Linked DNA regions of Callithrix jacchus. The protein of the gene in region 1 binds, or shares a complex with, the protein of each later gene. Links are inferred from orthologs where the notes say so. Each region holds a gene or a part of one and is shown in the gene's direction. Other genes may lie near its edges.

The links.
Region 2: the proteins of RNASEH2A (region 1) and RNASEH2C are in contact, whole or in part, in a crystal structure (PDB 3PUF), measured with the Homo sapiens proteins. The link is inferred for Callithrix jacchus from reciprocal best matches to the Homo sapiens genes RNASEH2A and RNASEH2C. Residues at the interface, in NP_006388.2 of Homo sapiens: Thr11, Asn99, Ser102, Thr103, Leu106, Gly107, Arg108, Val109, Val196, Glu197, Lys198, Leu199, Glu225, Pro226, Val227, Phe228, Gly229, Phe230, Pro231, Gln232, Phe236, Leu245, Ala249, Glu250, Asp251, Val252, Ile253, Trp254, Glu255, Asp256; in NP_115569.2 of Homo sapiens: Pro33, Cys34, Glu35, Val36, Ala37, Val38, Ala42, Pro43, Val44, Gly45, Arg46, Phe47, Phe48, Pro50, Ala51, Arg53, Ser62, Phe63, Arg64, Gly65, Arg66, Cys67, Leu68, Leu134, Glu135, Thr136, Lys143, Gly146, Ala147, Thr149.

Annotation. Positions count from the first base shown.
Region 1 is NC_133523.1:11,630,557-11,635,036, forward strand, and holds the start of RNASEH2A (ribonuclease H2 subunit A), read left to right. Parts: upstream 1-1,402; 5' UTR 1,403-1,492; coding exon 1,493-1,619; exon of another isoform or gene 1,620-1,653; intron 1,654-1,826; coding exon 1,827-1,898; intron 1,899-2,022; coding exon 2,023-2,149; intron 2,150-2,279; coding exon 2,280-2,367; intron 2,368-4,480. Other genes in the region: THSD8 (thrombospondin type-1 domain-containing protein 8), read left to right, coding at 60-259. UniProt on the Homo sapiens protein: Catalytic subunit of RNase HII, an endonuclease that specifically degrades the RNA of RNA:DNA hybrids. Participates in DNA replication, possibly by mediating the removal of lagging-strand Okazaki fragment RNA primers during DNA replication.
Region 2 is NC_133511.1:122,810,983-122,815,526, reverse strand, and holds the start of RNASEH2C (ribonuclease H2 subunit C), read left to right. Parts: upstream 1-1,557; 5' UTR 1,558-1,615; coding exon 1,616-1,787; intron 1,788-1,952; coding exon 1,953-2,125; intron 2,126-2,201; coding exon 2,202-2,321; intron 2,322-2,560; coding exon of another isoform or gene 2,561-2,587; exon of another isoform or gene 2,588-3,190; coding exon of another isoform or gene 3,191-3,325; exon of another isoform or gene 3,326-3,417; coding exon of another isoform or gene 3,418-3,499; exon of another isoform or gene 3,500-3,624; coding exon of another isoform or gene 3,625-3,784; exon of another isoform or gene 3,785-3,949; coding exon 3,950-4,123; 3' UTR 4,124-4,445; coding exon of another isoform or gene 4,446-4,487; 3' UTR 4,488-4,544. Other genes in the region: histone acetyltransferase KAT5, read right to left, coding at 3,191-3,325, 3,418-3,499, 3,625-3,784.

The DNA of each region.
Region 1 (4,480 bases):
GAGGGGATTGGGAGTATGCCCCCTCTACGTGGATCTTTAGCTTTACCTTCTATCTCTAGAAGTCGAGGACTCGATCCTTGGCCCGTGGGGAAATTGGCGGTGTCTCTGCGACCAGGGCAAGCAGGAGCGCAGCCGCGAGGTGCTAAGCACAAGGCCGGGTCCGGTTTTCATGAACCAGGAGAACCTGATCCAGATACGGCCCTGCCGGCAACGGGATTGTCCATCCTGCAAACCCTTCGACTGCGACTGGAGGCTCTGAGCCCAGGTGAGAGAGGGGCCCACGGGCGGCAGGGCCAGGGCAAACCTAAGCCGCGGGACCCAGGGTGGTTGGGGAGGGAGACCTTGCGATGCGGGGCAGGTATGAGGCGAGTTTGGGGAAGGGAGAACTGAAGCTCCAAGACTTGAGTGACTTGAGGTTGATTTGGTTAGGGGGAAGCTGAGTCAGGAGCTGTGAGCCCCGTGGATAGCTAGGGAGGCGGAGGTGGCCGGATCGCTTGAGCCCAGGAGTTTGAAGCCAGCCTGAGCAACATACTGAGACCCTGTCTCTACAAAAAACAGTCGGGCCTGGTGGTGTGTGGTGTGCACCTGTAGTCAAGCTGGGAGACTGAGGTGGGAGGATCGCTTCAGCCCACGAGGTGGAGGTTGCACTGAACCAAGATCGCGCCCCAGCACTCCAGCCTGGGCAACAGAGGAAGATCCTGTCTCAGAAAAACAAAACAGAAAACAAAAGAGACGGAGACAGGTCGAGAGGTGGGGTAGGGGACATTCATCCTAAGTTGGAAGGAGTGAGCTTCCATGGTGGGCAGAGACCCTGAGCAGGAGTCGACTGAGGTCTGGGATCTCCATTGGGGGTGGGGAAGGCTTGGCCTGAATAAGAGGATACGAAGAGGAGACAGATGTTGAAGGGAGTTGGGGTGGGCCTGAGGGAGCAACAAAGGGAGGGAGTTTGGGGACTCCGAATCCTAAAGCCTGAGCCCAGTGGAAGCGGGGCTACCTGGTACAGGGGACTTAGAATGTGTACAGAAAAAGGGACTGCACTCGCGGAATCCAGGTGGGGATTCAGGGATCATCCCCAGTCATGCGGGGACCCGTGTCCTGGGAGTGGAGTGATACTTGACCCTCTAGTTCCTCATTAGGCTGGGTCTTCCAAGCTGCGCCTCAGTATCCCTTTTATTTCCCTCTCTTCCCACTGGCTAATGCAGACGGGGCCCCAGAGACCGTGAAGCAGAGCTTGCAAAGCGACCCAGTCCAACGAATTCGCCACACTTAAAGCGCTCGGCCATAACCCTTCAGGACTACAATTCCCAGGAGGGCGCGCAGCAGCGACGTCGGCGTCGGCTGCGTAAGCGTCCCCGCGGCAGGAGCGTCAGGGGCGTGTTCTGCGCGTGGATTGGTCGGAAACAGACGCCGCCGCAAGGCCCGCGGAAAACGCGCGCTGAGATCGGCTCCTGTGGACTTGGTTCTTGGAGCTGGTGGCGGCGGCCAAGGTGGCATGGATCTCAGCGAGCTAGAGAGAGACAATACGGGCCGCTGTCGCCTGAGTTCCCCTGTGCCTGCGGTGTGCGGCAAGGAACCTTGTGTTGTGGGCGTCGATGAGGCGGGCCGGGGCCCGGTGCTGGGTGCGCCCCTAGGGCCAGGGAGGGGAGGGGCGTGGTAAGCGGGATGCCGGAAACGGGAGTCGGGATTGTACCGCACCTGGGGAGGGGACGTGGTAGTGGTCATAGCTCCCAAAGAAGAAGTGATGATAGAACAGGGATGGGTGGCAACGTTCACGGGCTCAGTGATTGGACCCCGGTTCCCAAAAATTTGACACCCTTCCTTCCCAGGCCCAATGGTCTACGCAATCTGTTATTGTCCCCTGTCCCGCCTGGCAGATCTGGAAGCCCTGAAAGTGGCAGGTGAGCCCGGGGTGTGCGTCTGGGAAGGGATTACTGGGTATGTGTAATCCCACTGGGGGGAACGTGAAAACTGGAGGGGAGGGCAGGAACTGGGAGAAACATTTGTTCCCCTTTTCTTTCCCAGACTCAAAGACCCTATCGGAGAGTGAGCGGGAAAGGCTTTTAGGGAAAATGCAGGAGGACGGGAACTTTGTGGGCTGGGCGCTGGACGTGCTGTCTCCAAACCTCATCTCTACCAGCATGCTTGGGCGGTGAGGGGTCCCCGGGAGGGGCTGTGGGAGAGGGGTCCCCGGGAGGGGCTGTGGGAGAGGGGCAGCCAGCATGGGCTGGCTGGGCTTTGTTCCTAGAATGAGGTTAACTGGGCTCTGTCCCCCACCACAGGGTCAAATACAACCTGAACTCCCTGTCCCATGATACAGCCACTGGGCTTATACAGTATGCATTGGACCAGGGCGTGAACGTCACTCAGGTGAGCTAACTGTTGAGTTGTCTCCATTTGGTCACTTCAGGATAAAATGGGGACAGAACAGGAGTTCAGGGCTGCAGTGGGCCATGATCATGCCACAGCACTCCATCCTGGGTGACAGAGGAAGACCCCCAACTCAAAAGTAAAAATGGAGGCCGGGTGTAGGGGCTCATGCCTATAATCGCAGCACTTTGGGAGGCTGAGGTGGGTGGATCACCTGAGGTCAGGAGTTCGAGACCAGCCTGACCAACATGGTGAAACTCCATTTATAAAAAAAAATACAAAAAATTAGCTCGGAATGGTGGTGGGTGCCTGTAATCCCACATGCTGGGGAGTCTGAGGTGGGAGAATCACTTGAACCTGGGAATTGGAGGTTGCACTGAGCTGAGATCGAGCGAGCCATTGCACTCCAGCCTGGTCAACAGAGCGCAAAATAAAAATTTAAAAAATAAAAAAAAAGCCCGGCGCAGTGGTTCACGACTGTAATCCTCGAACTTTGGGAGGCCGAGGTGGGTGGATCACCTGAGGTCAGGAGTTCAAGACCAGCCTGGCCATCATGGTGAAACCCCATCTTTTTTTTTTTCCTTTTGAGACGGAGTTTTGCTCGTTACCCAGGCTGGAGTGCAATGGCGTGATCTCGGCTCATCGCAACCTCCGCTTCCTGGGTTTAGGCAATTCTCCTGCCTCAGCCTCCCGAGTAGCTGGGATTACAGGCACGCGCCACCATGCCCAGCTAATTTTTTGTATTTTTAGTAGAGACGGGGTTTCACTATGTTGACCAGGATGGTCTCGATCTCTTGACCTCATGATCCACCCGCCTCGGCCTCCCAAAGTGCTGGGATTACAGGCGTGAGCCACCGCACCCGGTCCTAATGAAACCCCATCTAAAAAAAAAGAAGAAGTTGCCTGCCCTTAGATAAAAATAAAAAAATAAAATAAAAATGGGGCAAAACCCTGCAATAGGCAGATTGGGCATCAGATATATCTGGAGTGCCTCAGGCATGTTCATTGCTGCTGTTGATTTCATGCTGCTGTTCCTGGCCTAAATGTGTGGCTCACTCAGGACCACAGTGTAGCCCCTAGTCCCATCTCCATTTAATCTCTCCCTCATCCTAAAGGCTCAGTCTCCACATGTGCCTACCTGCCAACTCTCTCTGTCCTAGCCCAGGACACCCCCCACTCCCTGGACACCTGCTGAGCTTCATCTCTCATCCGCCACCCTCCTATCCCCTCTAGTCTGTTCCCGGTACAGCAACAGAAGGGAGTCTTTTTGAAATGCACATCTCGACATTTAATTCTCCTATCTCAGTGGAAATTAAATCAGGAAAATTCACAGTTGGGGAAAATTACATTAAATTATCAGAGAAAAGCATAAATCAGCATTGCCTTGAGTGCTCTCAGGGAAAGAACAGACCGGTTTTGAGAGAATAATAAGGCAAAATAACCTCAAGGTAGGAACTGTATGCTGAGTGTGGTGGCTCACACCTTTAATCCCAGCACTTTGGGAAGAGCTGAGGTGAGCAAATCCGTTGAGGCCAGGAGTTCCAGACCAGCCTGGGCAACATAGCAAGACCCCATCTCTACAAAAAAGAAAGAAAGGAATTAGAGCAAAGTAGGCCTTGCTAAGGAGGGGCCTGAGGACCAGACCCAAATGCAGAGCTGACCATGCAGTAACTGGGGTAGACAGACAAGGGCCCTGCCCATGGGGTTTCAGGTTTAGCCTGAGCAGAAAGGTGGTCAGCTGGTAAAAAAAAAAAAAAAAAAAAAAAAATTAAGATGGTTTCTGAAAACGGTATCGCCGTGGAGACAGCAGTTTCCCCCAGCAGCTCCAGGATCCTCACTTCTTTGCTGCAGCCATAAGCCCCCATACATGGGTCCAGCATGATGAACCTGGTCCCCACTCAGGGACTTTGTACTGTCTGTTCTCACACCTAGAGCCCTCTTCCCCAGATCTTTGCATGGATTCACTTCCTCACCTCCTTCAAGCCTTTCTTCACTGCTGCGCCTAGCTAATTTTTTATTTTTCATAGAAACAGGGTCTCCATATGTTGTCCAGGTTGGTCTCAAACACCTGCCTTCAAGCGATCCTCCCGCTTTGGCCCCTAAAGTGTTGGGA
Region 2 (4,544 bases), on another chromosome or scaffold:
CAGGGTTTAGGGAAGCCAGGCTTCCCTCTGGCTTGGATGTTGTCAGAAATGGGGGTATGTCTATGATGGACTATCAACGAATCTTACCCAGAAGGGGAGATTAGATGGAGGCCAATGCTGTACTTGGTAAGGAAACAACAGTCACTTTCTTGTGAGAGAAACAGGGATGTTTTGTGCCTTTTGTGGTTTGGACAGTGTTCACCTTTGTCAGCGTTCAGATGTGATGATAGAGTGGTTCTGTTTCTGTCTTTCTCCCTTGCGGACACAGAGTGACCTTGTGCAATGGTGATATTCTCTGAAATTGTTTATGTTCAACAGAATACCAAGGCCAGCTCCCAGATGTCCAGGAATGTATAAATTAAATGCAATTTAAATCTAAATTTCCAGTTTTGTGTAAGTTTATGTGAGAACTTGAAAAATACGTCTAAGTTGGGTATCTGAACAAATAAACATTAGAGAAGAGTTGAGAAACCAAAGAGAGAGGGTTTGCGAAATCTAAAAGACATGAAAAATGTTGATAAATTTGACTACAAAAAAGTAAGTCTCTGTGCTGGGCATGGTGGCTTACACCTGTAATTCCAGCATGATTTGGGAGGCCAAGGCAGGCAAATCACTTGAGTCCAGGAGATCAAGACCAGCCTGGGCAACATGGCAAAACTCCGCTTCTACCAAAAATACAAAAATTAGCTGCGAGGTGACACAGGCCTGTGGTTTCAGCTATACGGGAGGCTGAGGTGGGAGGATGAATTAAGCCTGGGAGGTCGAGGCTGCAGTGAGCCAATCAAACTCTGTCACTGTACTCCAGCCTGGGTGACAGAGTGAGACCTTGTCTAAAAAAACCAGACAAACGACAACAACAAAAATAAGTCTTTGTCCAGCAAAAATCACCCTTAGACAGACCACAGATAAAACATTTTCAATGTATTTGAGAAAACGGTTGATGTTCTTAGTAAACTAAAAAAAATACCTACCAATGTAAAGAGTACATTTCAGAATCGTTTCAGATTTTTACAATGATTACGCGTCATTAAAAACAAAAACAGAAAAATACCCAGCCAGGCGCGGTGGCTCACGCCTGTAATCCCAGCACTTTGGGAGGCGGATCACCTGAGGTCAGGAGTTCGAGACCAGCCTGGCCAACATGATGAAACCCCCGTCTCTACTAAAAATACAAAATTTAGCAGGGCCTGGTGTGGCGCGTGCCTATAATCCCAGCTACTTGGGAGGCTGAGGCATGAGAATCCCTTTAACCCAGGAGGCAGAGATTGCAGTGAGCCGAGATCGCACCACTGCACTCCAGCCTGGGAGACAAATCGAGACTGTGTCAAAAAACAAAAAACAGAGTAGAGGAAGGGGAGAGGAGAGGAAGAGAGGGGAGGGAAGGAGAAGGGAGAGGGGGAAAAGAAGAGAGAGGAAAGGAAAGGAAAAAAGAAAAGAAAAAAGGAGAAACCCTGGGACTTAGATCCAGGGAGGCAGGGCTTGCAGGGAAAGCGTCGGGGGTAGGGGGAACTACACTTCCCGTGAGGCTCCGCGGCAGCTTCCCAAGAGGCCCTGCGCGCTTTCCACGCCAGCTTCGGCCTCAGTGCGCGAGCAACGGCGTCGCCTTGGAGCGAGGATGGAGAGCGGCGACGAGGTACCAATCGAGAGGCACCGCGTCCACTTGCGCCCCGCCACGCTGCGCGACGCCGCCCCCGCCACACTGCACCTGCTGCCCTGCGAGGTCGCGATGGACGGGCCCGCCCCGGTGGGGCGCTTCTTCACGCCCGCCATCTGCCAGGGCCCTGAGGGTGAGCGCTGCGGCCGGACTACGGCTCCCGGCAGCCCCCGCACTCTTCTTCGTCTGGGCTTTTGAGGGTGGAGGTCCACCCGGAGGCGACGGGAGGGCAGCCCTGGGCTCGCCCCGCAGGGCCTAGCACGAGTCCCTGCCTGAGGCCCTGCGCCTCCTGCTCCAGGACTCGAAGTCTCGTTTCGGGGCCGCTGTCTGCGGGGCGAGGAGGTGGCGGTGCCGCCCGGCGTCGTGGGATACGTAATGGTGACGGAAGAGGAGGGATTGATGGGGAACCCGGATCCCTCGCGGGATTCTGGGACTTACGACCAAGAAGAGGAGCCGCTGGAGCGGGACTTCGTGAGCAAAAGGGATAGGGTAGGAAGCGGGTGCGGGCGGGAGCTGCATTCCCGATGCTGAGCCGGCCCTTCCCCAGGACCGCTTCATCGGAGCCACTGCCAGCTTCACCCGCTTCACCCTGTGGGGCCTGGAGACCATCCCTGGCCCGGATGCCAAAGTGCGTGGGGCCTTAACTTGGCCCAGCCTCGCGGCAGCGGTGAGTACACAAGGAGCCCCCTTTCTGGATCTTGCCCTGGGTGGAGTTTTGGAACACGGGCTGAGGAGCACAGTAGGGCAGACGGAGCCTGGAGGATTCTACTGTGTAGTGCATGGGAAGCGCGGCTCCCCGCATGTCCTGAAGGGGTTATTCTGAACAGCTGGGTGGTTCCCCGGGTGTGGGGGTCAGCCTGCCGCCCTGTCTTACAAGCCCAACAGCAGAGGCGACTCCTGTTGCAGATTCACGCACAGGTGCCCGAGGACTGAGAACCAGAGCTTGAAATTGAAAGCCACGATCCCTTCCTTCACAGCAGTAAACCAGTTCTTCATTTTGGAGCCACTGATTCCATCACCCCAATAAAGGAGCTCTTCACAGCACCTGAGTCTGCGCGCCTTAGAGGCCTTAAGCCAGCATGGGCCCCTTTCCCACAAGAACCTTGCAGGGCTCTGGCATAAAGAAACAATTTATTGCCAGGGCAATGGGAATAAGAAAGTCCAGAATCCTTTGCAGCCAGCACCCACCCCACCCCCAACTTCTACTTTACAAAAGAAATTTTTACAATACTAGCCCTCTGTACAGAGCTCCCCCACCCCCCATCTCACTGTACACAGCTGCCTGGCTCCCTCTGGTCCCTGGTTCAGAGCAGGCCTGGGCCTGTAGCCAGCTGACCTTGGAGTTGGCCTGAGCCCTGAGCTCGCCTTGGTACTGGGCACCAGTGGGCCCCTGCTAGGCCTGTCCCCTCCTCTTGGAGCTGTCCTCAGCCCCAACTCCCTTAGAGTGCTTTGTGGGAGTTGCAGTGGGGACAGGGTGGGGCGTGCTATCAGCCCCAGTCCTGCTGTTGTCTTGCCACTGCAGTGGGCAGTGCCTGGTCACCACTTCCCCCTCTTGCTCCAGTCCTTGGGAGTGAAGTGCAGACACTTGGAGTCAATGCGCAGGAGCCGCTTGAGCATGGCCCGCTCATGCCCATCCACGATGTCCTCTGATAGTGTGAGGATGTACTGGCCCTGGGCAGAGGAAATGGACCAGCAAGTGGTCAGCCCACAGGGGCCTGCACTCTGCATTCCACACACCTGTCTCCCCCTACCTTCCTCCCTACCTTGTAGTAGTTGATGAGATTGAGGTACTGCAGAGTGGAGATGACATCCTCCTTCTTGATGCTGGTGATTTCACTGATCTCACTGTGGGAGGGCAAAGGTCAGGTCCCCTGAGAACCTTCATCTGTCCCCAGGAGCCCCAGGAGAGAGTGAGAAAGCCCGGGGACAGGCCATGCCATGCACCCCCAGGTAGGTGGGGCCAGGCTCACTTGATGGTGATCTGTGGCCTCTCCCCGCTCTCCGACTTCAGCCCCATCAGGATCTCCAGGATGGTTTGGGACCAGTAACTTCGATAGGACAGGAGGCCAAGGTCTGAGAGGGGCTTCTCAGGGGTCCCTGTTTTCCCTTCCACTTTGGAGAGTTCATAGCCTAAAGCAATGGAGCAGGAGAGGGTAAGATGTCACAGATGAACATAAGCAACATTTGAAAACACAGGTCACCAAGGCAGGCTGCCTAGTTCCCATAGTGGCCCCACCACTTGGCAGTTCTGTGCCCTCAGGAAGAACTAATGGTTGTGTATTCTCTCTTCCCCAGTGTGCTGAGCACAGTGGAGGGTGTGAGGGCACTGAGAGGAACAGCTGCAACAACCACAAGGGAGACCAAAAGCTGGTGAAGGCTTACAGGCAGGGGATGCAGAGAAAATGGCTCAGGGGAAGAAAGTGCCTCCAATTTTCCTTTGCCATCCCAGGCTTGGTGTCTGGGCAGTGAGGAAGGAAGTAAGGACTGATTCCCGTCTCAGATCCAGGCCTGAGGAGGCTTGAATTCTCAGTCAAATCAGTCCTTCTACCTGGGATCTTGGAAGTGTGAGCTGCTCTAAGACCTGTGTGGCCTGACTGGGTGGTTGTGAGGATGCAAGGAGAGAAGGTGCATCAAGGTGCTTCCTAAGACGGGGAGACCATTCCTGAGAGCCAGTGTAACTGACCCTGACAGTGGCTCGCTCCCTCTGACTCGTGCAGACAGGTGAGCACTGGGAAGCAGTGAGATCCTCAGACCCTGCATAGCCCTGAGTGGCTTCACATCTCTTTGGCAGGGTCTTCATTCTCCCCATTCAGGGACCTGGAATGTTTGTTAGTACTAGAAGCCCTTCCTCACCCTCAGCTATAACCAGCCTCATAATGGACCTTAGCCC